Linked DNA regions of Nothobranchius furzeri. The protein of the gene in region 1 interacts with the protein of each later gene in a pairwise test. Links are inferred from orthologs where the notes say so. Each region holds a gene or a part of one and is shown on either strand. Other genes may lie near its edges. The genes, in order: RNA-binding protein with multiple splicing, creb5b, fam168a, prkab2 and rhobtb3.

Region 1 (5,963 bases):
AAAATACATCAGCATCTGTTTAATTAAAAGTCTAGAAGAAATTTTTAAATTGGCCTAAATCTTGATCAAAAACAATGAACTCAGCATCTCCGAGCGTCTGCTCTTTGTCTGAATGCGTCTCCTTCCTGATAGGACAAAAAGGCCTGGAAGTCTCACTGTTAGTAAATATACTCCATGTCATTGTTTTCTTAGCTAAACTGAATAAAATTATAATTTCTTACTTAAGCCCTATTCATATCAGTTTATTCCAAACCTACAGAGGGTCCACTCCAAATTCCTTTATCCAAACAAGGTCTGGAAACTGGCCCTGGCTACAACATATCTTTGACATTCACCATGCAGGCGACCATATTTCACCTCAGCTCCATCGTCGGCTGAGTGCTGCACTACGTAAAGCATCCAGAACACCTGATAATAATTCTTATCAAAGCGACTCTTTAGATTAGGAGCGCGGGGGCCGAAACCTGCATACCTCGCCCTGCAACAAGCCCATGTTTGGTTGAGCGCCGGTCCGCGAAAGATAAACACTAAGCATCATCGAGCTTTGGAGGTTGAGCAATGAAGTAGGCATGAGGAGCCAAGCTTGCAACAGTGCTTTACTGGTGCGAATCAGTGATCCATTGACTTGAGAGTGTGTAGAAGTGGGGGTTGGGGGGGGGGGGGGGGGAGCATGTGAGAGTCACACCAGCAAGGCTGTTAAACTTTAGCTCTTATAAGGTTACAGTTTACAGTTGCTATGGTGTTGTTAAACTTACAGCGGTTAGGTATTTGGTGTATTTGATGGAGCGTAGGGAAGATTTTAAAAGGCTGAGACAGTCCAACTCCCCATCATAAACTCGTCCTGCTATTATACCAAGCACCGTGTGCGTCTGTGCAAAACCTACCTGAAGCATGTCCACAAGAGAGCCTGTCAAAAGCACAAACTCCCCCGAAAGCCTCACTGATCTCCCACTAACACCACATGCTGTTTCCACGAAGACAAAGTGCCGCGGTCTAACCTTATGTTAATTCATCCGAGGAAATGTAAGTGTCTACTGTCCTGGATGAGTTCCAAACATTTCTAAGACATTAGATTCCTCTGGCCATTACTCCCCCCTGTTTGTGCGCTGGCTACAGACGGCTCCCGTCTGGTCCTTCGGCTCGTGGACATGATAGAAATTCAAACGTGCGCCACGGGCGAGCTGAGAGGTTTAACTGCCCAACAACACAAGGCTGCAAACAAACCAATCGCTAAATAACTGACATTTGCTGATTAGTGTTTGATGTATTCCACCTATGAAAACGAGACCTTCCAGAATAAAATCCAAGGTCAAACTGTTTCCAAAGTTTGACTGATTACAAAAATGTGAAATATTTATTACGCTGAATAAAAAGGAGGGCCAGTTTATATCTTTTTGCAGGTTTTTGGCTATTTTTACACTGATATGAATTCCAGTATTGATGGGAGATCTACAACAGCTGTATGTTAATGAACCCTCAGTGCTTGTTGATCTCAGTGACAGTGGAAGCAATAATGTGTGGAGAGTTGTGATTCAAGAATAAAGACACAAGTATCTCATTGTGATACAGCTCTTGAGGACCAAACTGCATTTAAAAGTTTCCAAAACCTCTCACCATATTTCCAAGGACTTCCTCGAGTGTTGTCGCTGAACTTGTGTTTTCAGATAAATTTCCTCACCGAAAACATTCCGAATCACTGTGGTCTTCAAAAAACTGTCCAGAACTTTTCTAAATTGAATTTCCGTGAGTCAGAAAGGAAGAAAAATGAGAGACAGCTTTTGAAATGGTTGATGATGAAATCAACATATCAAATGAGGGAAAACTGGCCAACAAAATGGGACACAGTTAGGACACTGTTACCAAATCATAACGAGAAAATTTGAATGGCTGTTGCAGTTTTTTTTTGCCTCATATTCCCTAAAAGACCCTCCTCATTAAGGTGGGACTAGTCCCTGTCAGCAGAGAGACACTGACTAAAGACGTGTGTAGACGATGCGTATTTATCGCAGAGGATACCCTTAAACCTTCTCAGCGGCCTAGTGGTATGAGTGTCCACCCTGGGACTGGGGGATCGGGGTTCACATCCCGGTTGGATTGGGAGATTAAACCATACAATAGTTCCAGAGCGCAGACACTGCTGCTGGGATGGGTCAAATGCAGAGATGCAATTACACCAGTGAGTGGTGACTAATGGGACTGGAACTTTAATGTAACATTTGACAATGAAATGTTGTAAGATGAAGATAGAGATCAAATGTACTATTTATGTCACATAGGACTGAAATTTTTGATTTTTGCTTTCAGAATTGAGGTTTACTCCATTTGTATAGCACTTCCTCTTGGTCAGATCAAACAAAACACCCACAGATGTTGTTTTCTTTTAGTTTATGAACTTCTAAAATGGTAATTTTGATTGCATAGACCCACAGTGCATCCATAGAAACCTCGGCCACGAACCAAATATGGTATTAAGTCAGTCCGTTTGGCGATTCAGTTACATTGCACCGACACTAATCAGATTACTCCAAAAGAGAAATATCTGATACACCTCCTCTACGTCTCCATCTCTCCTCTGAGGAGATGTGGAGCTCAGAAAAGGGCCAAAGCAAATAAACCCCAAACACAGACATCCACAACAAGAGATATCACTGAACCAGATTGTGCAATGTTTACAGAAACTGGGCCATTCTCTTATCCATTTAGGAGGGGAGAGAGAGAAACACAATTATATCACGTGTTTTCAGACAAACAGCATCAATCTGGTGTGTTTAGATTAAATTAAGCCCCGGTTATGAAAGGAGATATTCTCCTCTGTGAGCCTGGGATACTTAAGAGCTCTTGCCAACATGTTGCAGCGGCAGATGTTTGAACTTCAGCGGCTTGGCTGAAAACTCTACCTCGGATCACAAACGCTCTGACTTTTGTCTGGCTTTACTGGTGCAGGAACTTCAAAGATGTTCACAACAAAAAGTTGATAGCGGGAAACCTGGTGAGCTGTGGTGGAGGAAACTTAGATAGAAGCTGAATAAGTTTGGTTTCTTCTCGTTTTTCTCTTGAAAACAGATATTTTAGGAATTCGGCGGCTAAAATAGTCACACGAACCCCCCTGACGCCCCTTGTAGCGCGGCGGAGGCAGCAGGTAGGATACATACCTCCTCTTCGTGGTTGGTGAATTCACTCGGCTCGTTCTCTTTCTCGATTTTGTTGTTATTCATTCTGAGTCTTTGACACTTTCACTTCTTCTCTGGTCTCTGCTCTTCTCCAAAACCCACGAATGATGACAAAAGCAGCTCCCCGAGACAGTCAGAGGGAGTCCGGCTGTCCTTCTCTCACCGCACTCTACCAGTACGCATCAATAACGGCTGATCTTCTTCTGGTTCTTCTTCTTCTTTGTTGGTATCAAAAGCGGTAAAAACAGGAGTCAGCTGTGAGCGGTGTTCCTCTCCTGTCGGGTATTCCTCAGCATTCCCTGGAAAGCTTTACCGGAGGCGCTTGTTGTTGCTGTTCCCCCTCCTGAAACGGAGTTAATGCTCCTTGTACGTGCGCCGGAGGCGAACTTCTCCTCCTCTCTTCATCTCCGAGTCCGTAACGTCCGCGCGCGCGCCGCGGAGGGAGGGGTCTGGGTGGGATGCAGCGTTTACCCTCCACCGGAAAATCTGCATCCATCATCTAGAAAACCAGCTCAGATGTTATTTTAGTCCCTGAAACATTCCTGCAACGTTTTCCTCACGCGCTGCTTCGTGTTGTCACGCTGTAAGAACACATTTGTTTATTAAATACGCAAAAAATGTGATTTTGTGGTTTTATGCGTTTAAATACCTAAAAGACCCGGTCATTTCAAATGACTTTTGCTTAAACTTTTACTGTTTGTTTTTAATTATTTTTATTCAACCATTTAGTTTTATTTTTGTTTAACTGATCTTTTTCATATTTTTACTATACTTTATTCTTTTTTTTTTGTCTTGATTCTTGGGTGATTTTCCTTGTGAATTACTCTGTGACATTTTTCTGTGGTTGCTATAAATAACCTTTCGCTCACTCACTCACTCACTCACTCACTCACTCGCGTTATAACTAATTATTTTTTATGGTTCAATATTTTTATGACACACAAAGGTTAAAGTCTAATTCAGTAGGTAGAGTGGGTTATCCAGTATTCAGAGGGTTGCAGGTTCGATCCCAGCTCCCACCAGAGAATGCTGCTGTTGTGTCCTTGGGCAAGACACTTAACCCACCTTGCCTGCTGCTGGTGATCGGAGGGACTGGTGATGCCTGTGTACAGCAGCCTCGCCCCTGTCAGTGCACCCCAGGGCAGCTGTGGCTACATTGTAGCTCATCCCCACCAGTGTGGGGACATATCTCTCACATCTGACGAATACACGCTCGACTATCTCCTCAACTGCACACCTTTCACAAAGTCCATCTAAAGCAAACTCAAAGCTGGTGTGTGTGTGTGTTTTCTATAGGTCAGGATGGCCTTAACCAACACCTCCAGGCTCATCTCATTGATTGACTCCTTTATCTACCTGCAAGGTGAATGGTTACATGATGTGTTCAATAAGAACATGGGAACTTATTTGTGTGGTTTTAGTTTAAGCAGATTATCTGTTGTTGTGACTGAGATACTTTTACATACTTTATCTTGCAAATGTAAATGTGAGACGAGTCTTTGTGATCTTTTTGTTTAGTGGGGGTTCTGGCCTTGAAGTTATTCCATGGTGCCATTTATGTAGTTTCTTTCTTATTGCAGAGTCATGCCGTGCTTTAGATGTTGTTCTAGGTTATTTTGTTCTGGAACTCCTTTAGAACGGGACGCGATGTGTTGCTTTTTGAGATTTTAGCCTTCTTCGTGTAGCAAACAGGTTCTGCTCAAGTGATTTCTGTGTGTTGCTAGGGGTTGTATAAATCACAGTTTATTCATGATTTAACGAGCAGGGGAACTAATTTTCCACAATGGGACAGATTGTTTTGGACCCTTTTTTCTGTCAGTGATGAAAAAAATGTAATTACTCAGACTTTCCTTGTCTGAAAATTAAATGTATTTGCAGATTCAAAAAGTTTCAATGTTAAAATAAGCAAAGAACAGAAACAAGGACAGTTAAAGAGCAAGTCATCCCCAAATCAAATTTATTTTTTTTTTTGCTGATAAACTATATTGTCCAACCATGCTATAGACACGTGTAGTCAATACTTTGGCACTTTAGTGAATCTTAGTTCAAATTTAAATATTCTGCTTAAAACTGTCAGTGTTGTGCCCTCTTCAGGTAAAAACTCTGCACTGCATTTGAATTTAAAACTGCCATCGCTATTGGCTAAGAAGGTACCCTATGACTTTAGCTGGTACATTATGATGTCACAATGTCATTGTGAGCCTGAGTGTGTGCATTTGTTAGCGGCTCCGCCATCCTGGTCTGCCAGGCGACAGCGTCTGTTGAATTTTTCAAATCAGAAGTGGGAGTGGAGTAAGACTCTGGTAGGGGGTGACTTGCTCTTTAACTCATTCGCTGCCAGCCGTTTCCTGATCGCTAACGGCCTTCGCTGCCAGTGTTTCTCGCCGTTTTTACTGTTTTTTTAAGAGACACAGAACGTTGCGCGCTAGGATGATGTCAATGCCAAAACAACCAAAACAAAGAGGAGACTCACCTCTTTCATCAGGAAGAATCCGCGTGTTTCGAGCGTTATCCATTCTTTCATAATCCGTTGTCGAGTTGTGATCGGCAGACGCTTTTCCGGTTCGCGCCTCACTTTTTTTTACAGGAACGGCCCAAAACGATCTCCTAACACATGGATGTTCTGCTTCCTGATCATGTGACGTGTGACATATACGGATGAATATCGGCCTCAGGGCTGAGATGTTTGTTTTCTCATTGTGGGAGCTCGTTCCGATGCTCAAACAGTAAAAACAAAATGCAAATGATGACTTTAGTCGTCATTGGCAGTGAATGAGTTAGGACTGATATTAT
Region 2 (6,227 bases), on another chromosome or scaffold:
CTTTCCAAAAACCTGGAGAACTATTGATCAAGAACACTACCAAATATTACAAGAAAGTCTGGCTGCTTGGTGGTTTCGGGCTTTGGTTTGTACCCACACTGACCTGAGAACAGCCGGGAGCGTTACACACAAACAGCCTTTCCTGGTCTGAGTTCATCCCTCTGGCCAGAGTCTCATAAAACTAGAGAAAACATAAAAAAGAAAATATGAACTGTTGTTTCCTTGAAACAGTAACTTTGAAAAAGCTTGAAAAAGTATATTTCAAATGCATTTTTACATAAAATATACGAAGTTTTGCTAAAGCATAACATGTATTCTCAATAGATTGTATAAGAACAAATATACAGTAAGAAGTACTAATCCTGTTTCGTTTAGCTAATTTAAATTAAGTCATAAATGTTTTCTCAAGAATGAACACGCTGCTCTGCACTGATCTACAATCACCAGCGAAGATGCAAATTTCTGATGCATCAAACCAGCGAAATGATTAAAGGTTTTGCTGATTTAGTTGCTAGAGTTGTGTTGAGGAACGTTCTGTAAGGTAAGCAGTGGACAGTTAGTTAAGAGTTAAATTCATTTTCAATATATAAACACAACTTTTAATCCAAATGTCCTTACAGCTCTAAACACATTTAGCTTGGTTCTTAGATCCTCTTAGATAGAAAACATACCCGACCCCAACCCTGTTCACCAGAAAAGTGTCTCGTAGCACACGTTAATCGACTCTTCAGGTCATGCATGAAACCTGAGTCAGACACGAGAACAGGAACGATGTTTTCTGAATGGATTTGAACTAATAATGTAAAACAAGCAAAGTCATGTGAAGCTGTCATCAGAACCCCTCCAGCTGGAGAGCCACCCGGTAATCTCTGCATGTCTGGCAGCATAAAGGCTGTTCACGTTTTTACTCAACTTTTGCTGTTTCACATTCCAAACACTGACAAAGAAAGAATTTTGTGTTATTAGTCCTCTTGATGTAAATATCACAATTTTCTCGTTCTGTCTTTTTCTCTTTAGCAAATGAAGTTGGGATGTTTAAACAACGTTGAGATGAAAAAGTGTTTTATAATAATGAAAATATTCTGTTACTATTTTTCAATATCTTCGTATTTTGTGTCACCAAATGAGGGCAGGAGGTCACCTCATCTGTGGCGTGTTCAGTCTGAAACTCTCAGTGTGTGTTCCCATCAGGATGAATGGAACAGCTACGGAGTTACTGCAGGATATAATTCTCATTTATTACACACTTTAAATACAGCTAATCACTTTTCTAATCCTAACCATAAGCTGACAAGAACTGTGCTGCATCTGTCATTTATCCAGTGCCACATCTGAAACGCTCTTTGAGAACACTTTCATGCACCAGGTTCATAAAATTCTCTTTTTCATGCGTGCAGACTGTTTCCTCAAGAGAAGTCAAAACACCCTAATATTGTGTTATGCTAGGCTGTGGTGTTTTCCTAACAGGCTGTGCTTCATAGGCAAGCCTGTGGAACGGGGTCTGGACAGGGTCTCTCTGTCAGAGACCACGGAGACCAGTTCCCTCGCTCTTCTGCAGGGACCCCAACAACTCACCTGGTCACCTTTGACACAACAAACATCAGCAACAAACTAAACAGAGTGACTTGTGCGGCACCCCGGTTATTCGTGTGTTTCTGCCACATTTGCATCACGGATACGTAATTTTCAGCTGTTTCTTTTGGCTGCATCTAAGTCATTTCCACAATGATCACCAATAATAAAAAATACACGTTTCTTTCCTTTTTCTGTTTGTAATATTGGGGTTGATCATTTCAGCCCAATTACCACGACATTCGAACCACATGATGCAGAAAACTCCACCATTCATCCCGTAGATGCCTCTGTGAATGGTTCCTTTGCTTTTGCACTTCACACTACCTGATGCTTGATGCCCCTTTCCTGGAAATGGGGCACTTGGTTCATTTTAGGTGTCGATGTTTTAGTTTAGTAGAGGAAATGTGGTTACACCTCACATTAACTATAAACCGGTGTAAGTGAGGTGCATGGGGGGGTTAGTCCAGCCTTCGATTTCCAGAGGAAGGAATTCTCCAGACATTGTGTTTGAAGTCAAACGGCGGGAGTCAGGTGCAAAAAGGTACGTGGGGTTAAAACGAGCACAAACGTGCAGAGCAAAACGTACCTTCCGATAACCTCGGCTTGTGACAGCACAAGTTCAATTTCTGAGGCAGTGAGCGTGGTCCAGATGACAACTGTGCTCTTGAGCTACATGTCTGCGAGAAGACTGGAGAAGTTTAGTACTGTAAAGCGGGGTATGGGCAAGAAAATGAGTCCTGCAATAAAAACTTAGGGCATGAAACAAGAGACTGCTGTCGTTTGACTCCTTCACCAGCACTACCCTAAGCACATGAAACCGAGTCTGGGTCACATTTCACTGCTGCAATCAGCCACTGAGCTGCACTCAGCTTGATAAAATATGGAAAGAATCTGCTTCAAGGTTACTAATTAAAACCAGTTACCCAGGGAGATCCACCAGACTTGACATTTTGGGTTTTTCTTTGATTTTTCATCATTCATTTAATTAGAATTGTGATTAAAATTTTAATCTGATTTATATATATTTTAATCAGGACATTTTGCAACTTTGGCTGAATCTTGCAAGGTTTGGTTGTTGAAAAAACGAGTTTTATTTCTACATCTGGTGCCTTGTTTACCAGAGGGTTTATTAACGGCATCGGTAAATAATTTTAAAGGTAGCGGAAATGTAATCCATCTATTTTCGTCATTCGGTCTGTCTGCTGTTACCGGAAGTCTGGGCAATAATTAAAGGGTGGGTGAAAGAAAAGTGGTTATTGACAGTGCTGCCACATAAACATAATGAAAGCAATTAAATAATTGAAGTTCTTTCTTTCTCGTCAGCACCTTCCTGAAACCTCAGCATCTGATCGGCCTACATCCCACAGAATGACGTCATGTTGCTCTTGTTGCTTTTAACGTTAAAAAAGCAGATCTGATGGAAACAGAAGCCGTGGAGCGGTGCGGCTCCGCGTATCCCCAAACGGGACAGGCGCACCGGTGATGCGCAGACCCGCAAGCTGGGAGGAAACGCTGAGGAGGTGCAGAAACTAATGTGCGGCGTGCAGAAAATCCTCCTTTTTGCGGATGTCGGAAGATGAATTCCTGCGGACCTGACAGGCAGACAGACCGAGCTGCGGCACTTGACTCCGCGTTCAACTTCAGCAACAATCAGCAGCAAACGCTCTCTCTCTCACACACACACACACACTCTCTCTCTCTCACACACACACACACACACACACACACACACGCGCGCGCGCACACCATGACAATGCACTCACTTAACACGAAACTCACACCAGACTTTCAATCGCGAGCTTAACATTGTTGCAGGGATAAGAAAAGCAAAATAATATTTTTTCCAAAAGCGCTGAAGCGAACAAATCAAGCTGTTTCATGGAGGAGGAAAGAAGAGAGAGAGAGAGGAGAAAAACGCTTTTAACGAAGTCAACCAACCTGCAGAGGCTCGTGCACGAGGGTCTGCATGGTGGCAAGGTTTCCAACTTACCAAGTGCAGAAAATATGAAGCAGTCCCTCAGAAGAAACCACGTTGGACTGAGAAAAGATTACAATACGATCTATTTAGAGAACCATAACGTCACCCCTGGGTGACGTCACGTGGGATTCCTGAACTTCTAAATCATTGCGGTCCACTGGTAGGCGGCGCGAGCGGGGCGGGGCTTGTGAGTGCACGCCCAGGAGCATGGACGGATGGATGGACGGAGACCGCTGGTCCTGAAGTGGGTGCGGTGCAACAAAGCCCCGCAGGCAAATCAGCACGGTGGCGCTGTCCCATAAACTCAGCTGCATTAGTTAAATTAGCTGGAGAACCATCAACCAAAATAACAAATAAAATTCATTATAAATGACTAGACGGCTCTGCTGAAATATTACATCAGTCGGCTGGAACAAAATCTAAATAATTCCCCAGTGAGAAGTGTGATTAATATAACCAAGTCACAGACTCACAGGTGCTAACTGAAATGGTCACACATAAATGAAGAAACATCGAAACTAAATCAACGAAGACCTGCATTTCTTCTGATCTTTATAAGCAGTCCACAAACTGGAAAGACCACATTCATCATTAACATTTTGAAATTAAATTAAGCTCTGCTTCCAAAACGCGGTAGTTCAGCGTTAGTGCTGCATCTGTAGCTGAGAGATTTAAGCCGGAGTCAGATCCTCCTGTCTGAGGGCTCGGTGTGTCCTGCTGCTGGTGCCAACCGGCTGTGATTTCTTCAGCCACAGACACCGGTAGCAGCGAAGCCATCCTCAAACCCACAGGGATTAATGACTCCTCGCACATTGAGAAATGTTTACCACTGGCCTGCGACCACTGCACCAGACACACTAAGAGCTCTGTCACTGAAACAATAACGCAGTCTGGAAAGCCCTCATAACTCAGAGCTTCTCCGCCTCTGTCTTTTAACCAGAGCTTTAATCAACGTTTATGACATCCTTTTGTCTCTTTATTGCCAATATATTTCCCAACCAATCCAAACATTATGCCTCCAGAAGAACAGACTATCAGGCTGGAGAGAGCCGATACAGTTGGAGGTCAGTGGCCCACACTAAAGAGAGATGTGATCTATATTATACTAAACCTTTTATGATTATGTCTTTGTGGAAAGCTTTTGGGTAAAACCACCTTGGGATGAAAAGATCATGTGATGATATTTTGTGGCCGCAGGCGCGTTCACGAGGCAAAAAGATACAAGTACAACTAAAACATTACTAATTATTTACAAAACCTGTGTGCAAATGGGGAAAAAGTCAGATAGATTCATTGAGAAATACAACCTGGCCAAGCTGATGTGTTCCACTCAGGCCTCAGACTGACTGCTTCCTAGAGCAGAGGTGGAGCGGGGGCCGAGCTTTCAGCTAGCAGGCTCCAGCTTCCATCAGTAATGCTAAATGGCCTGTATTTGATATAGTGCCTTCTAGAGTCCTGGACCCCCCAAGGCGCTTTACAACACAACCAGTCATTCACCCATTCACACCCTGGTGGGGATGAGCTACAATGTGGCCACAGCTGCTCTGACTGGGGCGCACTGACAGAGGCGCCAACGGTCCATCCGACCACCACCACCACCAGGCAAGGTGGGTTTAGTGTCTTGCCCAAGGGCACAACGTACTGAGCAGGGTTCGAACCTGCAACCTTCTGAATACGAGGTGAGCACTTAACTCCCGTGCCACCATCGCATCAGTGAGCCGCACAAGGCTGAACGGTTTAGTTTCCTTTTAGAGAAATCTCAGTCGAAGGTGGTGTGGATGTCGTTTAAAAAAACCTTTCAAGCAAAATGAATGATGAAAAATAACAATCCAAAGGTCCGACTTTCCTCGAGCCCTGCCCGGGTCTGTGGCAGGAAAAGTGGGATCATGTTTGTCCTTCACAGACCCGGTGAACTCTCACATCCTGCTCTTCAGCTCTGACGACCAGCAGCTCCCGGATCTCTGCATCGCTCCAGTCGTCTCCGCGGATACTGTCTCCCCTCCGTCTTGTTGCCTTGGCTCACATTTGATAAGTAATCATGACATCACCATCTGTTGCACAAAGACGTGATCACCATACATAAGTCCGGTGTTGCAGGAATATTATCGAGCTTGGCGGCACAATTGGCGCAATATTCTCGCCTCGCCATGCCGCCATGGCGCATTCAAAAGACACGCTGTAGCGGCAGTTTTACCCTGAAACGTCGCCACTGTGTGTCTTTTAAAACCAACTGGATATTGTCTACATCAAAACATAGAGCTATCTCATGTTTTTATCCATTGTTGGCTCCTTTTCTGTCCTAACATGACGTATCTGGGTAACCATACAACAATTTAATGTGCTATAGGTGAGATGAGGTGTTTTTATGATGAGAAACATGGCAGGTTTCAGCTTTCTTGGTTTACTCGTAACTTCAGAGTCCGAGCCGACCTCGAACGTCAAACAGCTCACCGCACACCCAGCCAGCTGACGTGCTGCTTGCATACAAGTTAGTCACCTTAAGGTTTCCCAACAAGAACAGAACCAGACTCTAAATAGAACATGTAAAATCACTCATCCAATGAAAGTTGCTAACTCAAACAGAATGGAACATTCATCCATTAGGAAGGTTTTAATTCCTGTTTAAAAAATCTGAACCGAGAAAGCGTGATTCATGTACATAACAGAGTTTGTG
Region 3 (6,309 bases), on another chromosome or scaffold:
CTGACAATGATTGTAGCTCTACCTGCAGAAAAGAGGAAATCTGAAACAGCATGTCCACATTCCCATCATTGATGAGAGTCTCTCCAGAGTAGGCAAAGTCCAGGAAAGAAGCCACAGCCACTGGACACTGATGCAGAGTTACTGATCCATCACCACACTCTCGCATATCTACCTCAAACATGGCCCTAAGCACAGCAATTACATGAATTAGACTGTATAGACAGACAGACAGACAGACAGGCAGAAAGACAGGTAGGCAGGCTACCTAAAGAAATCACTGCATGCTGCAAGAACACAGCGATGACAGGGGAAACTTTGTTCCTGTACCCTGATGATGAAATCAAACAACAAGCCTCGTTCTCTGAAGGACCTGAGCACACACAGAAGCTGCAGTCCATGGGTCTCTGACACACGAAGCAGTGTCCGTCTCTCTGGGAGCCCGTTGTCCTGTGGTGCACTAACAGTTTGACCTCTGGGAGGGCTGGAGCTGCTGGGGTTGTGGGAGGTAGTCAAACTGGCAAGTGACTCTGGATACTCATCCATATTGCCAAAACCTAAAATAATAATAACAATAACGATTATGATTATGGTTGCACAAAACAAATAAATATGTTTTGTATTTGCAATAAAAAAACCACTAAAAATAAACAATAATCTATTCTAATAACTAAAATAAACAGTGTGTGCACGCTAAGAACAAATTACTTCAGCAGCCCTATCATTTACTCTTGTCTCTATTTTAACCCTAAAACCAATATATGGGTGTTTAGCTCACTTGCGGCTCAAGTTAAATTTGTTACACTTATGTCGTGTTTTCATATCTCAAATATGAGACTGTAATACACTTGAAACTATTCAACAAAGCAATGTGGAACGAGAAGAGATACTCACGGGTTCAGCACCTCGGATAGCTCCTGTCACGTTTCGTTCTAACCTCCGGAAACGTAAAATAACGCGATAACTCGCGCAGCTTTTTGTTTTGGGTTTTTTCTTGTCAGGTCTTTGGCTTCTTACATAATTTAAATTGAAACTTATTTTGTTCAAGCGACAATTATAACACACTTGTCATAGCTACAACGGTCTAGCTGTATGCTAGTGTGCAGCTTGAGGGACGGGAGCGCAAAGGCGCCTGGGAACTGTAGTTCTCTTTTTATGAGAGCGTATGATAAAACCTAAACCATCGACATATATACGGTTGAAACATTAGCCTATAGTGAAGTCCGACCTAGGTCAGCATCCAAGCGATGTCAGACATCTTTTCTTTTGTATTTTTTAGAGAAATGATGCTAAAACCATTCTGCAGACTCAAAATGGGCTAGCTAACTGAAACACCTAGACTTTTTGCACTTTTAACTAATCTATAATAATTGCATAAGTAATTGCACCTGTGTATACGGCAATAATGCATTTTTGGGGATTAGTTGGGACCTCATAAACATAGGCTAAAATAAAGACAGTTTTTACAATATTTTAAGTTTATATAAAACTAAATAAAAATAATTTAAATAAAAGCAAGTGTCCTTGAATAAAACGACTTTATGTGAGGATGAAGGGTCACAGGAGGTCTTAACCATCACTGTTATAAAATTCATAATTTACATTTTCTGGTTTGAACTTTCTCAACGAAAATTATTAGAGTAAATAAAATAATAAATCAGTACTAAGATTATATATAAGTGTAGGTATATATTTAACAAAAATGCCTAAAGAAATCCTAAATTCCCATGCTGGATCTTCCGAGTTCACTATTACCCTTAAATGCATCATAACCATCAAGTGGTGCATGCTGGTGCATTCATGGCCACTTGGTGGTGCTGTTTCACTGTGGAGAAAGCAACGGATAAAGCATGGGACCGAAATGAAGAGTGAATAAAACAGAAGAAAAAAAATCTGTATTGGTGAACATGAACTTCCACATATCCTGCAGTTTAATTTAACCACCACGCGCAGTTTATGACAAAATAACACGATTCTTCTGGTCTGAAATATGAATACATACTGATCTACAGTCAACGTGATCTGAATATGTAATAATAATAATAATAATAAATTAATGTGATTTTTTTAAAAAGGAATCATAAAGTCTTTATCTTGATCATTTTTCATCAGTAAACCAACCTATTCTATAGGAATGATTAAAGGATGGATATATCCGGATGCCATTCCCATAAAACAAAGAACTGCTGTTCAAATTGTAATTGTGAATAATACAAATCTATTTCCTTTCTATTATTAGACACCTTCCACTTTACATGTATCGGTGGGTCATGCCCCCACCTCTGCTTGCATCCCTGCATCCCTCCCTCCTTCTCTCCCTCCCGGCGGCAGTGCATCCCCCATCCCCCACACGGTGGCCGTCTCTCCGGTTGAAAGCTGTCTTCCCAGCCGCCTCTGGCCCGACAAAACGCTGCTGTAGCAGAGCCAGTCCGCACCAAGCCGAAGCTGAGCAGAACCACGGGAGAGTGCACGTACACACCAGGGGGAGTCTTTTTCTGTTCGACCGGGTGGTTTTGGTGAGTCTAACACGCTTTTTATTGCGGACGGAAGGAACGTCCATGTTTCTACTTTTTAAGTTGTTCGGTTTTTTTGTCTGTTTTTTTCCCTTCAATTGTCCTCCGTGAGGAACTAGCGGGCTATGCTATGCTAAGCGGCTAGCTCAATTAGCGGATTCTACAACTTGGCGCATCGGGAGTGTTTTAAGTTATTTACGGTCAGTCGTTAACATCGACCCTGGCTTTTCACGTGCCGCCCGGTCAAACTCAACCATGGTTAGTGTTAATTGTCTTTTCTAATCCGTTTCCCCGGCTAGAATGCTAATTATCGATTTGAGCAGCGTGTACGGATGGACGCAGGGATGCGGCGGTGGGTTAGCGGTTGTCTTTTCAGCCGAGCTTCCAAAGGCTAAGCTAATGGTAGTTTTATATGACACGGGTTCCTGCTAAGGTGTGCTATAACAGCCACTCTAAATTCAGCCAATCTAGTGTTAATTGGCAAGATGGCATCTCGGAGTTGTTATCCAGAAATCGGTGGATTTTCAAAATGGTGTCTTAAGCTTGTTTGAGTGTGACCATTTTTGTCCAACCAGTGCTGTTTTGGCTCCAGTTGCTATCTCTGTTATGCAGCGCATGCCATGCTTCGATATAATATCATGTAAATACTCAGCAACAACAAAGTAAACCGTGTCCTCAAGGCTGCAGACTGCGTTATTAGGCGTAAAGAAGATGTGTTTTGGGTGGGTTTTATTTGTCTCTCTTGGCTTTAATGCTGTCAGGTTCAACAGGAAAGAAGCATGACGCACATCCCAGCACACTGCTTTATCTGGATGTAATTACGTGTTTACAAAATGCATCACTGGATTGTTTTTATATTTTAACTTTTTTAATTGTGAATCCCAAAACTAATAGTCACAGGTAGGACTTGTGTCTTTTGAAAGACGTGATAATCTTACTGTTTATATTGTTAAACTGTAGGGGATGGTGTTTTTTCTCAGTAGTACTTAAAGAGACAATGTGTAGTATTTACCGGTAATCTCTGCAAATATCCATCGAAATGTTGTTGAAAACGAATAAAATGATGCCCAGTTGTAGAAAAACATTGGCAACTTCATAACGTATAACCTTAAAATACATGGAAGTCTTAGTCTCTGGGTGACACCATATTAGATGCCATGTTTCTTTTTATGGGAGCCAGTGAGGACATAATACATTCACTGATATGTAACAGTTACAAAACTTTATTCATTCATTAACATTGTTTTACACATTTACCTCTTCACTCGTTGCCAGTGATGAAAGAAGTCTGGTGTGCCTGTCATTTTGTTGGAGGTTGCACTCCCAGGGATTTTTTACCCCAAATGGCCATCCATTGGTAAGGTCTAAAGCCTCATTCATTCTTCTCCATCTGCGCAGGTGAGGAGACACGTAACGCTATTATGAGTCGGTGCAAGGGCTCGACAGTCTCACAGAGGGTGACAGAGACATGCCCAAATTTTTAAATATCTGTCAAAAGTGACGGAGAATGCTAGCTTGTGATTAGTCAGGACACCGCTTCCTTTAAATGTGTCAACAGCTCCGCCATTGTCCCGTCAAAGGTAAAAAGATATTTAGCGGCAGACACGGAACAGATTGAAGAACTCATCATGGGAAAAAATCCAAAAATATGAACGCGTATTCACCCGTGACTGAAATGTGGAGCAGATGTTTTATTAATGGACAGAAACGATGGGGAACGTGGGTTTAGAGGTGGCGACCACTTGAGATGTGGAGGAGGATGAAGGACAAATTCGCCTGTGTTATAAAGTCTCTGAAGTATAAAAACACATTAGTAAATACACCATCATGGACCGGATATATGAGTGTAATGGTGGCATGATGCCACAGAACAGCGCTATGCCCTCTGTTGTCTTGCGAGGAGTTGCTTTGCAACACTCCCCAGGAGACGAAGTGAGAGAGCAAAACGTCTCTGTCAATGCATGTGTGTCTCCCTTTACAGAGCTGACAGAGAAATATAAACCAGACTTAAAGCTTAATTTATATTCCTCCGTCAGCTCCACGAGGGAGACACATGCACTCACAGAGACGTTTTGCTCTCGGACTTCTCCATCTCCTGGGGAGTGTTGCAAAGCAACTCCTCGCCAGGACAACAGAGGGCACAGCGCTGTTCTGTGGTATCCTGTCATGTATCTGGTCCAACATAGAGCATTTACTATTCTGTTTATATTGTGTTTTTTGTATTTCAGAGACTTTGTAACATGGACAAATTTATCTCTCATCCTCCTCCACCTCTTAATGTGCTCACCACCTCTAAACCCACATTTCCCATCATTTCCGTCCACGGATAAAAGCTAGCTGCGTATCTTTTCACTCCCCCAGTCATGGGTGAATAAAACGTTCATATTTTTAGAATTTTTCCGTGAGGCATTCTTCAAGCTTCTCTGTGTCTGCCACTAAATATTTTTGGTTTTCTTAATGTTTTTTAGGGCGCGATGGCGGCACTGTCAACGACAGTGGCATCCTGACCAATCACAGGCTTGCGTTCTCCGTTTCGTTGGACAAATGTTTAGAAAAGAGAACTCGACTCCGTCCTTGCAAGCCTCCTGGAGAGCCCTCGAAAGGACAGATAATGGCGTTGTGTGCGTCCATCCCGACTCAGACCGGGAAGAATAAATTAGGCTTAAGTCTCTTGATGACGCCATTTTAGATTCTGTTTTCTTCTACCTCTTCGCTTGTTGTCGGTGATGAAAGGGAGTCTGATGTGCTCCTCAATTATTTATTAGAAACACTTTATTTTCATAAAATACAAACAATGTCATCTTCTAGTTAATTTTTATAAAGAAAATAATTTTAGACAAATGAGAGTATATTAAAATCAACAACACATCCTTTCTGGGATCTTCACACTGAAATTTGATATTGGCAGTTATGAACTAGGATAAATATTTTTTATTCTAAAGATGCAGTAAAAAGCGAGTCTAAGCTAAAGCGAATGCATCTCTCTTCAAAGAGTTCAAATGATTACAGGTCCTCGTTGGATTGCGTCATCAGCCTAAGGTGACCTCTGCCTGGTTATACTGTGGGGGGTGTCTCCTGTGTGTGAATAATGGAGTCTACAAGGCAGCTGTAAAACCGTCAGACCATTGAAAGCTGGAGCCATAAAATGTTTCGACAGAAAATGGTTCTCTTACAGACGACAGTCTTTTCAGCACTTCAAATAGCATAACGATTAGCTTGCAACAAACAAGTGAATTAAACAAATGGCAGCTGAAGAGTTCGGCTAACTTCCGGTTTATCTTGTCCAGATCTGTATCATTCGATTAGATATCTTTTATTTATACTGGTAGATCCAGCTAATTAAATTTCTACACTAATGATGTAAGTAAATAAAAGGTGACGATTCATTCAAACTGTGCGTTATTAAATCTCTTAGATCAGGGTTGGGGAACCCTGGTCCATCGAGGGTTGCTATCCAGCATATGTTAGTTTCAACCCTGCGTCATCACACCTGATTTCAATCAGCAGGTGATTAACAGGCTTCTAGAGAGCTGATGAGCTGCAGAACAGGTGAATCAACCACTGAATCAGAAGTGCTGGAGCAAAGACATGCAGGATGCCAGCCCTCGAGGACCAGGGTTCCCCACGCCCGCCTTAGGTCATCGATGGAGGGTTAGATGACCTATCTAATAAAAACAATAAGTATGGCAAAAAATGTGTGTATTGTTAATTGGAAGTTCATAAGTTGTGTTTGAGCTGTATAAAATCCACAGGAAAGCTCAAGATGAATTAACTACAAGACACATAGTTTATTTAAATG
Region 4 (6,231 bases), on another chromosome or scaffold:
CTGAGAAGAGTGCTTTTATTATCATCCTATAAAAAAAACAAGTTATAAATTATCTTCTTAGTTGCTTGTTTCAGTCATTTTGTATGTGTGTGAATTAGTCCCTATTTTTGATTTTCTGGTTACAAATCACTGGAATAAAACTCAAAATAGGTTCTTCATTAAGTCAAACTTCTGTTTATATCTGAGTAGAAACTAAAACAAGACTTAAGACATAATTGCGCCAGAGATCCCATCATCAAAAAGTATTATAAACTTGTTTAGTACACTTTCCGATCTGCACAGTGTGTCAGTATTAGAACATGAAGCACAGACATGCGGGCTGCACATGTAACTGAGTGTTTTTGTTCCTGCAGCGTCTCTGGATGTGTCAGACCAGCCCTCCATGAGCTCCTTGTTGAGGACAATCGTAGCCAAAGATGGCTTCTTTGGGCTCTATCGTGGCATCCTGCCAAACTTCATGAAAGTCATCCCTGCTGTCAGCATCAGTTATGTGGTTTATGAGTACATGAAGACTGGCTTAGGAATCTCAAAATAAGCGTGAACAAAAAGAGGATCATTTAGTGTTTTATCAGACTTGGAAAAAAGCCTGCAAATAAAAAAAATTCCAAAACGACAGACGGACATCCAACGTAAAGAGCATGACTTCATCGGACGGAAGGCTGTATGGTTTTTTTAGAGCTGCCTGCCAGTAGTGTTTTAATCAGTTGTGGTGTGCATGCTTCTTTTATTATCCTAAAGTTGCACATAACACACTCTCTACTTTTACACTTTGTCCCAAACAATAGATGACACACACACACACACACACACACACACTTCTGAGGCTACATAATAGTAAAAAAACACAACATTATATATTTAGTTTCAATGTTTTCCAGGTAATGACTGTGACAGGAAAAGTTTGTCTTAACGGAAAACTATTTTCTGTGTGGAAAATAGTCACCTGCCACATTTGTGTCAGAATGAGAAAATCAACACTGTCTGAGTTTGCACACGTCTAAACACTGGAGACAGGATTTTACACTTTTTAGTTTTAAAACGACTTGTTTTACAGGACTGCAAATGTTCAGGTGGTAGCTGCTGGTTTTAAAAACAACACATTTTTCTAACGGTGGAACAATGCCTGTGTGTGTGTGTGTGTGTGTGTGTGTGTGTGTGTGTGTGTGTGTGTGTGTGTGTGTGTGTGTGTGTGTGTGTGTGTGTGTGTGTGTGTGTGTGGGTGTGTGTGTGTGTGTGTGTGTGTGCGCACGCACACGTGTGGGTGTGTGGGTGCGTGTGTGTGTGCAAAGACATGCATGTTGTGCAATGTGAAAATAACTCACCCCATATTCTTTGTGATCATTTAATTGTGCCTTACAGCCTCTTGATGCAAATCTCTGCGATGAGTTTTTTAGCTGCATATACTGTTTTAATGTACTGTACGTTTTCAGTTAAGCTTATTTATTGGACTGACTGATTAAAAACTGTTATAACAGGTCCGACTGAAAATACCTGCAAAGACCACATTCTTGTCACGTGTCTCTTCTTTGAAACAGATGATTTAAAATGGGATTTTTACTATTTAAAGAGGACAGTGAGTGGTTTCTCTTTACATTTCTGATCAGCAGTTTGAATGAGACCCAAGCTGTTTTTATTCAGAGTTAATATTATTTATGTTTTCTGAAATCTGATGTAGACAAATGACTTTATATGCATGTTTGAAATCACTAATGTCTTTAATAATAAGCATGGATTTGTTGAGTTGAGAAGTTGCTGTTGTTAAGTTAACTGCGGGAGAAAAAGGTGAGGAGTCGAACGAAGCAAAACTAGTTATTAATGTGTTTACAGAAAGGAAACCCAATAGAAACGTAGGCAGCTAATTTTGCATTTGGAGGTTCTGGTGACTTCTTGCTTATAAGTGGTAATTTCTGTTTTTTTACAGTGACTGTTCATTGGTGTAACAGGTTTTCTACTTGTCTCATGGATAAATAAAAAAACTCAAGATATTCTGATATTTTACCTTATTATCTGCATGAGCGCTTAATGAAATTTAACTTAAGTATAGCTTAATGAATTGCAACTTGAGGAGGAGACCAATTTAATGCTGTTTTTTTTTTTTTTTTTAGTATTTATTCTTATGGAGAGTGTCAAACATTGGTTGTAAGAATAAAAGGTCTGCAAAGTTTTTAAGCCAAAAATCAACACTGCCTGGTCTTTTTTGTCCCTTCTTTGTTCTCATCGGTATGGACCTTATTTGCACGATGTTTGCTCCATGTGATCAGCTCAAACTAAACAATCAGCTGGCTTACCCTCCACCATTTTCACCTGAAATAATCAATGGAAATAGTGCATAATTTCTGTTTTTATTTCTCAGGATCTTGAAAAATTTTAGTGTTATGATACTGAGATGTTAAAATAGTTATTAATGTTAACTAAAGTTTAAAAGTGCCCATTTAAAGCAACAAAGCATTAAATTAATATAATCAGCTTATAACATCTGAAAAATGTCTTGGGCAACGCAATGTATTTTGTTAAATATTCTAAAGCATTGGCGCTACTAGTTAAAATAAAGCTACTTTTAAACTTCATTGTGAATAATGTGATTTTTTTTTCAGAATGGAATTTGTTTACTTTGTTTCTTGCCTCCAAACGTAAACTACATTGATTCTAATACTTCAATTTCTATTTTTCCTCTGTGTGCGTTCTATAATTTTTTCATACAACAATGAAAAAGTTTAATTTTCGTTGAAAGAGGAAAACAAACGTATTTATTTAGATATTACAAAGGTAACAACCCCTCAAATGTAACTGACGTCACGTCTCTTCCCGTTCCTGATTGGCTAAAATCACTTTTTGGCCTCTGCGCTCGCCGTACTCGGAGCCCCGCTGTGCTGCTGTTGTGAAAAGTGGAGGACGCGGACAGGTCTTCGGTTTGAAGACAAACTGCTGTCCTGAGGAGCGGCAGCTGGTGCTTGTGAGTGTCTCCTTTGTAGCTACACGGGAAACCAAAAGCGTTTCTATTTAGCTGCATAATTTGTGTCGTTAGCAGTCATTATTAAAGCAGACAAGTCGTTTTTGTTTGTTTGTTAGTAGTGGCTGCTGGTAGCTAGCTAAGTTGAACTGCGAGCAGCATCTAAAAATATTCACCCTGGCTGAGCTGAGGTGGACAGGAACAGCCTGACGTCCAGCGGGCAGTGGTGGGTTACGTTGACTTTATGATACGGCACATGTGGTTTCACCTGTTGCTCATGAAGCTAGAAAAGCTTTTTAAAGCCGTTAAGCCTTTGGGCTAAACCACACAGCTCACCGTTGTCATACGCAGCAGTGATGCACGCACAGTTCCAGTCATTTTAACACATCAGTTACTGTGTTTTTGCAGCAGTAACACTGGACTGTGGACAGCTGTTTGCTGTCATCACGTTCTGATACAAACTGGGTCTCTTCATGACACCTTGATCTCCTGATTGTGATCCTGTTGTCTGTTTAGATGTCTTCAGCAATGGTTTGGGTCAGCTGATCAGGCATGGGACTTGGGTTAGTGGTCAAATACAAATATTTAACATTTTTATCTAATATGGGATTTTAAATAGACTTCTAATTGGACTGATTTATATATTTGTAAAGTGTAAAATCATAAACTAAAACTTTTTTGTGTCTTTGTAGTATCTTGATTCACATGTGTTGTGTTAACAACAGCGTTATACATTTGCAGGGTCTCTAGTGTAATGTAAGGTGCAGTTCTGGGAAACATTGGTGGAGTTTCTTTGCTGGCTGGTTCTAGTCTATTTACTGTATTACAATTTTATCTTGCAAATTAAAACGAGAAATTTAAAAGCCATTTATTTACCTCAAATAAATGGTAAATGGCCTGTATTTGATATAGCGCCTTCTAGAGCCCTGGAACCCCCCAAGGCGCTTTACAACACAACCAGTCATTCACCCATTCACACACACATTCACACACTGGTGGGGATGAGCTACGATGTAGCCACAGCTGCCCTGGGGCGCACTGACAGTAACAGACAAATAACTTCTTTTTAAGTTCCCTTGACAAAAGGCAAATTTCTTACTAACAAAATTTTAGTTGCATTTTAAGCTGTGGTTGTTAGTGTCTAAACGGCTGGAGTTTTGTAAAATTGGATGTTCATAGCAAAACAATTCTCCTGACCTTGCAGTGGGAAGTCAGGCTGTGAGGCATCATGGGAAACACCAGTGACAGAGTATCTGCTGATCGCCATGGAGCGAAGGCCCAACGCTCCGACAGCAGTGGGAGTCACAAGGACCAAGAGACCAGCAGCAAGTTGGTGGACAGCACAGATGACCCTAACATCTTCAATACCCATGGACCTGAGTCAAAGGTAACCCTCCGGCAATTCCGACTAGGGTGCAGAATCGTTTCTTTGCTCTGTGTGATCAGTTTTCTGAATATCTATTGATGTTGCACGTTTGCTGCTTCTAGACATCAGGAGAAAAAGAATTCACCCCAGATCTCGACGACTTGGTTAAAACTGGTCCTCAGGCTCGACCCACTGTAATCCGCTGGGCTGGAGGGGGAAAAGAAGTCTACATAGCCGGTTCTTTCAATAACTGGAGCACAAAGATTCCACTAAATAAAAGGTAAACAAATTATTTTGTAATTCTATCTCACTAGGAGCTAGCTCAGGGGTGGACAACACTGGCCCTTCAGGGCCACTATCCAGCATGTTTTAGCTATTTCTCTGCTCCAACTCACTTTGTTTAATGGTTGTGTCACCTGCTCAGTGGCTTATTTAGCTTGTTAATCACCTGCTGATCAAAATCTGTAGTGTTGAAGCAGGGAAACGACTAAAACATGCTGGATGGCAGCTCTCGAGGACCGGGGTTTTCCCCCTCTGAGCAAGCTGCAGGAGTAGAGATCACTTAAATGTTTTTATTCAGTTTAGATTATCTGGTGTTGCACTTAAACTCTTTTCTTTTTGAAGTCACAATGACTTTGTAGCCATTCTGGACCTGCCTGAAGGAGAGCACCAGTACAAGTTTTTTGTAGATGGACAGTGGCTCCATGATCCATCCGAGGTACAGCAGACCCACCTTTGCTCTGCTTGTTTTTCTTATCATTCACCATATTCTCAGTGCCTCCTAAATTAGTCTAAATGTCTCAGAACAGTCAGTGTGTTTACATGCACATCAGAAAACCAAACTGTTGCCCTAAGTAGACTGACGTGATTTTTTAAAATCACGTAAACATGTTCGTCTTGCTGAAGGTGAACTGGTTGTTATCGTAACCAGATAATGCGGTAGAACACAACTGCATCTGCATGTAAACGGCTCCGCCAAGCTGATACTGGTAACTGCTGAATGTGACGAGTCTGCAGAAGTGGTCTTCTGACATTATCACCACAAAGTAACAAGAACCAGCCGTCTGGACTTTGCGCAGCTGAACCGAAGTAGTAACTGGATCTCTTTGACTTTGACACCGCTCGTCTTTGGAGATTAACGGATGCTCCGCTTATTCTGACGAGCAACGTTAACAGAAACACAAACTAATGACATTAGCAGCTGCCCGCTCCAATTGCACAAAAACGTTTTGTGAAATTATTGTAACAAGACTGTTACCGCGGGTTACAACAGAACTACGCACCACACCGGCGTTATCACTTTCATACACATTTATTTCACAGGACTGATCTGCAGCACAGTTCATCCCACTGCTGCCTCCGCTCGGTCGGTCGGTTATTCCCCAGCCGGCTCCTTGTTCCTGCAGCCGTGCATAATTATATAATAATATACATACGTCATTAGATGGCTATAACTTGTTTGTGTCTGCACATGTGGAGCAGATATTTTGTTGTTTTATCCCATCATGAGACTTTGTCTGCCACGATGTGGGCTGTTTATCCACTAGAATTGCCTGTTACCACAGCCTTCAGCCTATTTTATCCGCTGGAAACCTGTAAAATGTAACTTTACTGTCTTTCTTTCATCTATTTGTGCAGCCTAGAGCTCTACATGTGTTAACCATGCTGATAGATTTTATTTTGCTGTTGTTTAGCTCTGTTTATTGACAACTGACAGCTAAACACAACAGGGGTCAACATGGATGTGCTGGCTTCTTGCTTTCTAGCCAGAAGCTGGGTGGGGGGTGGGGGGGGGGCGCGCACGTGACGTCACACTTCAATATCATTGCCCCTGATCGTCGTACCCCTGATTAGTCATCAAGACAAACCTGAAGAATTTGGGTGTTGTTTTTGACCAATCAATGTTTCTTGATGG
Region 5 (5,140 bases), on another chromosome or scaffold:
CTTTTTTAATATGCTTTCTTCTGCTTCTGTTAGTTCATATTGTGAAATGTTACATACCCATGAGCATTATGTGGTGTTATCTTGTATTTCTTCCCTCTTTTTCTTGTTAATGATTTTGTTTAACTTATTTGAGTCTTTTACTTTTATGAACTTTTTCCTGTTGTTCCATCATGTGTCTTGTAATTAGTTCCTCCGTTTGTTCATCAAGTTTGTAATTTCTTTTTAAGTCCAGGTGTCTTCTTTCCAGTTCGTTTTCCACTTGCTTCTGTTTGGTTGTGACATTTCTTATCCTTTCTTTGAGTAGTGCTCTCTGTGCTCTTTCCATTATGTTCTGTGCTGTCTTGGTCCGGATCGGTGTTTTCAGCTGTAGGCTTGTTGGTGTAATGTTTTCGTCCCGGCATCTTAAATTGAAGTGAAGGTGGTTCCAAAGACGTGCGCGTTTTTGATGCAATCATCCCAAACGGCGGAAGTCCTTCGTTCCTTGTTGTCCGTATTTTTCTTTAAACATCTTTGGTGTGTTCTTGCTGTGTTGAGTTTCAAATTCCATCTTTCAGTTCTTTTTAAAACACAGAAAAGGTTTATTTACCTGCAACGTTTCGCAGGTAAATAAACCTTTTCTGTGTTTTAAAAAGAACTGAAAGATGGAATTTGAAACAACACAGCAAGAACACACCAAAGCTGATACCAACCCCATTGTTTTTCAGTAACCATGTTCTAATATCTGTTTTGCAGTCTTCTGACTCCAAAACAAGTGTGTATCATTTATCATTTTTAGGACACATTAATAACTTAAACCAAGCATCTTTCCTTTCTGTTGTCAAAAAGTAAAGCCACAAATCCCAGGTTTAAAAAAGGTATTTAACTTCTATTTATCGGTTTGGTCAACATGACATGAAAATTCTCTTTTTCCAAGAGAGACGTGACCTACAACCTACAAAAGCACATCTGATAAAAACCACCTACGGGTGCAGTCGGTTCACTTTGGAAGTCTCAAAGTCCTGCCTGCTCACTTGCACAATGATGGTGCTTTTTAAGCATCAAATAACTAATTATAGATCCATTTCCAAGAAAAAAGGTAAGAACTGTGTAGGTGTTGACACCTGACACATTTGAGGTCTTATTGGGGTAATGGTTGGACAGTTTTTGAAGCCTCAACTTTTACGTTCCAGATGTTTTGGTACCATTTCAATTTGAGATCATTTTAGTGAACATGGCTACCAACATCAACAAGTGGCTTAGTTGAAAGATTGCAGGTTTAAATCTTAGCTGCAGCCTTTATGTAGCATTCAAAGTTCATACATATGTAAAATTGCAGCTCAGTATCTGTAAAGACAACAGAGTTAAAAGCCAAGTTTGTGTCTGCTAACACCGATTAGATGTGGCAGCCATCTTTAACCAGGCCGACTCCAGTTGGATGAGCTGTAGATGAACACTAATAATTACTTTTCCAATATAATCCACCCAGTTCTCCAAGGCAGAAATAGTATGCCTTTGGTAACAAAATAAATGTGCATCATGTTATTGAACAGAATGTGTATAAAGGGTTTCACTGTGTGTGTGTGTGTGTCCAGCCAGTGTGCTGCAGGCCATGGCTGTACTGGTTTGTGCAGAGATGTATCAGGTGAAACGACTACAGCACCTGTGCGAGGTGTGTGTGTGTGCTTACCTTCAGAGCATGCCCAGTAGAGAGCTGGCATCAACAGGAATCAGCGTGGTCAGACTGCTCCGCAGGGCAAAGGTCAGTGCTACGTGTGTGTGGAGAGAAGCCAGCTTGTATGCTAATTGATTCAATGATAATATTCAGTCATCTTTTCCTTCCGTTTCCCTTCATTCTCAGTGCCATAACGCAGAGCAGTTGTACATCTGGCTCCTCCACTTCATCGCCAACAACTACCTGATCTTTAGTCATAAACCCGACTTCCTGGAGCTCTCAGGTCAGTGAGATCAAGTGAATATTTAGAATTATAGTGAAGCTTACAATAACACACTGTTTTCATGCTCAGAAAAGAAACCAGGCACAACATTCACATTTCTCAACAAAGCAGAAGTAAAATAAATGAAATGTAACCACAGAGATAAAGTTAGCTGTGAATTAAAGAGTTGCTGCTTCTAATGAAAGTTCACATTCAAACTTGATCCTCCAGGTAGCACTCACCTGTTTTTATGCTATCATCTAATAAAACCTTTATTTTAAAGTTTATGCCCCTCAAGGGTCTTTACAAGTATCTCTACGCATTTGCTTATGAAGAGAGATGAACAGCAACACTGTAGCAGAAGCATTTTATTGTCATGCATATAAAGACTCATTTATGGCAGGTTCTGGTTCTGGTGGGCACAAGCTTGTTGATGCGTCTTAATGTAAAAATGTTCGTTGATGTTTCAGTGACTGTGGTTGTCCTCAGGGCAGCAAGCTAAGCGTTTAATACTTGTGTGGATCTGAAAGCATGCATCAGGCATGGACAAACTTTCTCATCAGCAAAGCATCACAGGGTTGTCTGCAGTTGGTGATGGCTAGGAATGTCTATGTCTGTGTGTTCAGAGGAGGAGCGTGAGCAGGTGGAGAGGCTACGCTGGCCGTCCAGAGGATACCTGCAGGAGCTCAGCGAGTATCAGCAGCGGCGGCGCAATCTACGAAAGTCTCGCTGCTTAGTCATGTGACCACATCTGGAGGCCTAAACTCTGTGGAAGAGGGTGGGGCACAAAAGGGAATACAAGAGGAGAGAGAGAGGATAGTTGTCAAAATGTGAGCAGAAAGCTCAGACGAACCACACCTCCACCTCTAGAGGAATGACTCTTTGCATCAGGACAACTTCATCTTGGGCAATACAAACTAGGATTTTAAAATGACCATCTGGCCACAAGGCAGAGGCTCTGTGATAGATTATATTTCTACAAGATGCTAAATAATAATCAAATGTGCTAAATTATTCCATAAGGATTAAAAATACCAGATATTCAAACCAGCATTATGTGTAAATTGTTTCTACCCCCACCCTGACAACGGTGGTCTAAGCTGCACACACACCGGCTGCAGCAATAATTAAACCCACAGTAGCATCCATGTGTTGTTGGACGTAATGATTTGAAACATCTCTGGAGTCTGGACTTCTCAGATCAGATCTACAGCCCAGCACTGGCTGCTAAAGCAGTCGTTACTCATTTTCATCTGTAAAATATCAGAAACCCGATCAGCTTCTGAGCAGGACCAATTTAATTACAGCTCTCTTAGTAGATCTTTCACATTTATGATGCATCACAAGTAATTGTTTTGCAGCCAAATTGATTTATCTTGACAGAATAAATTTATTATATTTTGATTATAATTAGATTCAAATACCATTTTTCAGAGAAAAAAACGACATCTATTTTATATAAAAAATAAAGTGCAAACAAATTCGGATAGAAAATCAAGACCGTTCTGTGAATACACATCTGTCCATACCAATGTTTAGCTTATTAGATATCAGAAAACCTGAGTAAATACAGAAACAGTTTTAAAATTGAGTTTTTATTTATTTAGCAGATAAATTGATCCCAACCAACTAAACCTACACTTTTATAAACACCCTTGGTTGGTCAGAACTGGTAATGGTGATGAGTTTAGAGAGCATCCTGGACACTTCACTGGGGAGGTGTTGGAGGCATGTCCCGTCAGTGGGAGGCGTCCTGGTCGACTCAGGACGCGCTGGAGGGATCATATCTGTAGGCTCGCCTGGGAATGCTTTGGGATGCCACAAGAGGAGCTGGTGGAGAAGCCTGTTAGGGATTCATAGTTTATGGTTGAGTGTACACACCCTTTTGCTATTGAGGAATACCGACCTCTGACCTTAACCAAGTGAAGAAGTTGATTTATACAGCACTTTTCACAGACAAGTCAAAGTGCTTCAGACAAAAAAAAAACATACAATGAACACAATTACAATAAAACATTAAAGACTAAAGCTTGAAAACAACAGAATTACAATTATCAATGATCAATAAGACTGGTGGTGCTGGTTTAGGTGTTTTTCTGCATTAATGAATTTAGAATGGAACACCGTGTTTATTTCGCCTACTCCATGTTGTCAGACAGGTTTTGAGGAATTGATTACATTAGTAGTAGGCAATAATCTGAGTGAAACTGGACTCAGATTTCTTAATGTGGTTAATTCAAAATGTAGATTATTTTTTCCATTTAGGTCTATGCTTGTTTTTAATACACAAAATGATGATAAAAGTTGTATTTACTCAGGTTCTGTTGATACTGTCATTCGTTTACTAATCTGAAATCTTTGTGACAGAAAAGCAAAAACAATGAATCTGTGTGTGGGCACATAGGTTTTCACATCACTGAAACACTTCCTTTTTGAACTTGAGCTTCATACTTTGTCCTTTGGAGGGTTGTAGTGAGTCCTTATTTGGACCAACACAGTGAAAGCCTTTGATAGTGAAAATGATGTAGACTCCATATCACAACATAATTACAGTACAAACCTCGCTGCCTCTGGGTTAATAAGACAGTATTTCTTTTACCCATTGTTTTTGGTAGATTATTTTAAATAAAAATGAAATTATGATTTATGGTGCTGCAAATATTTTTGTAAACTATACAATATGTGTACTTGAAAAACATGGCCGCACCTTTTTACAGTCCAGCGTTTCTCTGCCATTTACTCAGTTTGAACTTAGTCATATTGTTGGGCTTTTTGAAGCCAATTATTTGTTTCACAAATTATTAATGTACAGTAACCATCAGTACCAGATGGTGTCCAGTTCTAGGAGTATCTATGCAGAAATGTAGCAGAAATCAGTGCATTTCTCTTCAGTAAATCACTGAGATTTTGACCATATGGATGTTTGGTATGCATTTGTATAAAATAAAATACTAAATCCTCAGAAATATAAATTTATTATTGAAAGGCAGGTGGAACTCTGGACTGTAAAACAAAAGTGCACCAGCTGTACAGTCTGTACATAACGTAGCAGTGGACTTTAAATAAAGACCTTTTAGAATCAACGTGCTGCTGATGAACTATTCTGTTTTACTTCATTTGTTTCGTAATGCAAATATATTCACTACACCTCCATAGATATTGGGACATCGACACAATGCTAACATTTTTGGCTCTATACACCACCACAATGGATATCAAATGAAATG

The links.
Region 2: the proteins of RNA-binding protein with multiple splicing (region 1) and creb5b interact in binary tests that used the Homo sapiens proteins (3 or more experiments, as listed by UniProt). The two-hybrid records come from large-scale screens. The link is inferred for Nothobranchius furzeri from reciprocal best matches to the Homo sapiens genes RBPMS and CREB5.
Region 3: the proteins of RNA-binding protein with multiple splicing (region 1) and fam168a interact in binary tests that used the Homo sapiens proteins (3 or more experiments, as listed by UniProt). The two-hybrid records come from large-scale screens. The link is inferred for Nothobranchius furzeri from reciprocal best matches to the Homo sapiens genes RBPMS and FAM168A.
Region 4: the proteins of RNA-binding protein with multiple splicing (region 1) and prkab2 interact in binary tests that used the Homo sapiens proteins (3 or more experiments, as listed by UniProt). The link is inferred for Nothobranchius furzeri from reciprocal best matches to the Homo sapiens genes RBPMS and PRKAB2.
Region 5: the proteins of RNA-binding protein with multiple splicing (region 1) and rhobtb3 interact in binary tests that used the Homo sapiens proteins (3 or more experiments, as listed by UniProt). The two-hybrid records come from large-scale screens. The link is inferred for Nothobranchius furzeri from reciprocal best matches to the Homo sapiens genes RBPMS and RHOBTB3.

What each region holds. Positions count from the first base shown.
Region 1 is NC_091742.1:66,798,040-66,804,002, reverse strand, and holds the start of RNA-binding protein with multiple splicing, read right to left. Parts: upstream 3,673-5,963; 5' UTR 3,216-3,672; coding exon 3,153-3,215; intron 3,142-3,152; exon of another isoform or gene 1,615-3,141; intron 1-1,614.
Region 2 is NC_091745.1:35,736,569-35,742,795, reverse strand, and holds the start of creb5b (cyclic AMP-responsive element-binding protein 5), read right to left. Parts: upstream 3,665-6,227; 5' UTR 3,544-3,664; coding exon 3,514-3,543; intron 182-3,513; coding exon 104-181; intron 1-103. UniProt on the Homo sapiens protein: Binds to the cAMP response element and activates transcription.
Region 3 is NC_091753.1:35,546,062-35,552,370, forward strand, and holds the start of fam168a (protein FAM168A), read left to right. Parts: upstream 1-2,319; 5' UTR 2,320-2,513; intron 2,514-2,647; exon of another isoform or gene 2,648-2,768; intron 2,769-6,309. Other genes in the region: kbtbd3 (kelch repeat and BTB domain-containing protein 3), read right to left, coding at 23-185, 266-543.
Region 4 is NC_091751.1:56,440,507-56,446,737, forward strand, and holds the start of prkab2 (5'-AMP-activated protein kinase subunit beta-2), read left to right. Parts: upstream 1-2,834; 5' UTR 2,835-2,953; intron 2,954-3,013; exon of another isoform or gene 3,014-3,176; intron 3,177-4,154; 5' UTR 4,155-4,178; coding exon 4,179-4,337; intron 4,338-4,438; coding exon 4,439-4,596; intron 4,597-4,940; coding exon 4,941-5,034; intron 5,035-6,231. Other genes in the region: mitochondrial adenyl nucleotide antiporter SLC25A24, read left to right, coding at 354-535. UniProt on the Homo sapiens protein: Non-catalytic subunit of AMP-activated protein kinase (AMPK), an energy sensor protein kinase that plays a key role in regulating cellular energy metabolism.
Region 5 is NC_091743.1:55,653,992-55,659,131, forward strand, and holds part of rhobtb3 (rho-related BTB domain-containing protein 3), read left to right. Parts: intron 1-1,571; coding exon 1,572-1,738; intron 1,739-1,837; coding exon 1,838-1,934; intron 1,935-2,266; exon of another isoform or gene 2,267-2,539; coding exon 2,540-2,658; 3' UTR 2,659-5,140. UniProt on the Homo sapiens protein: Rab9-regulated ATPase required for endosome to Golgi transport. Involved in transport vesicle docking at the Golgi complex, possibly by participating in release M6PRBP1/TIP47 from vesicles to permit their efficient docking and fusion at the Golgi.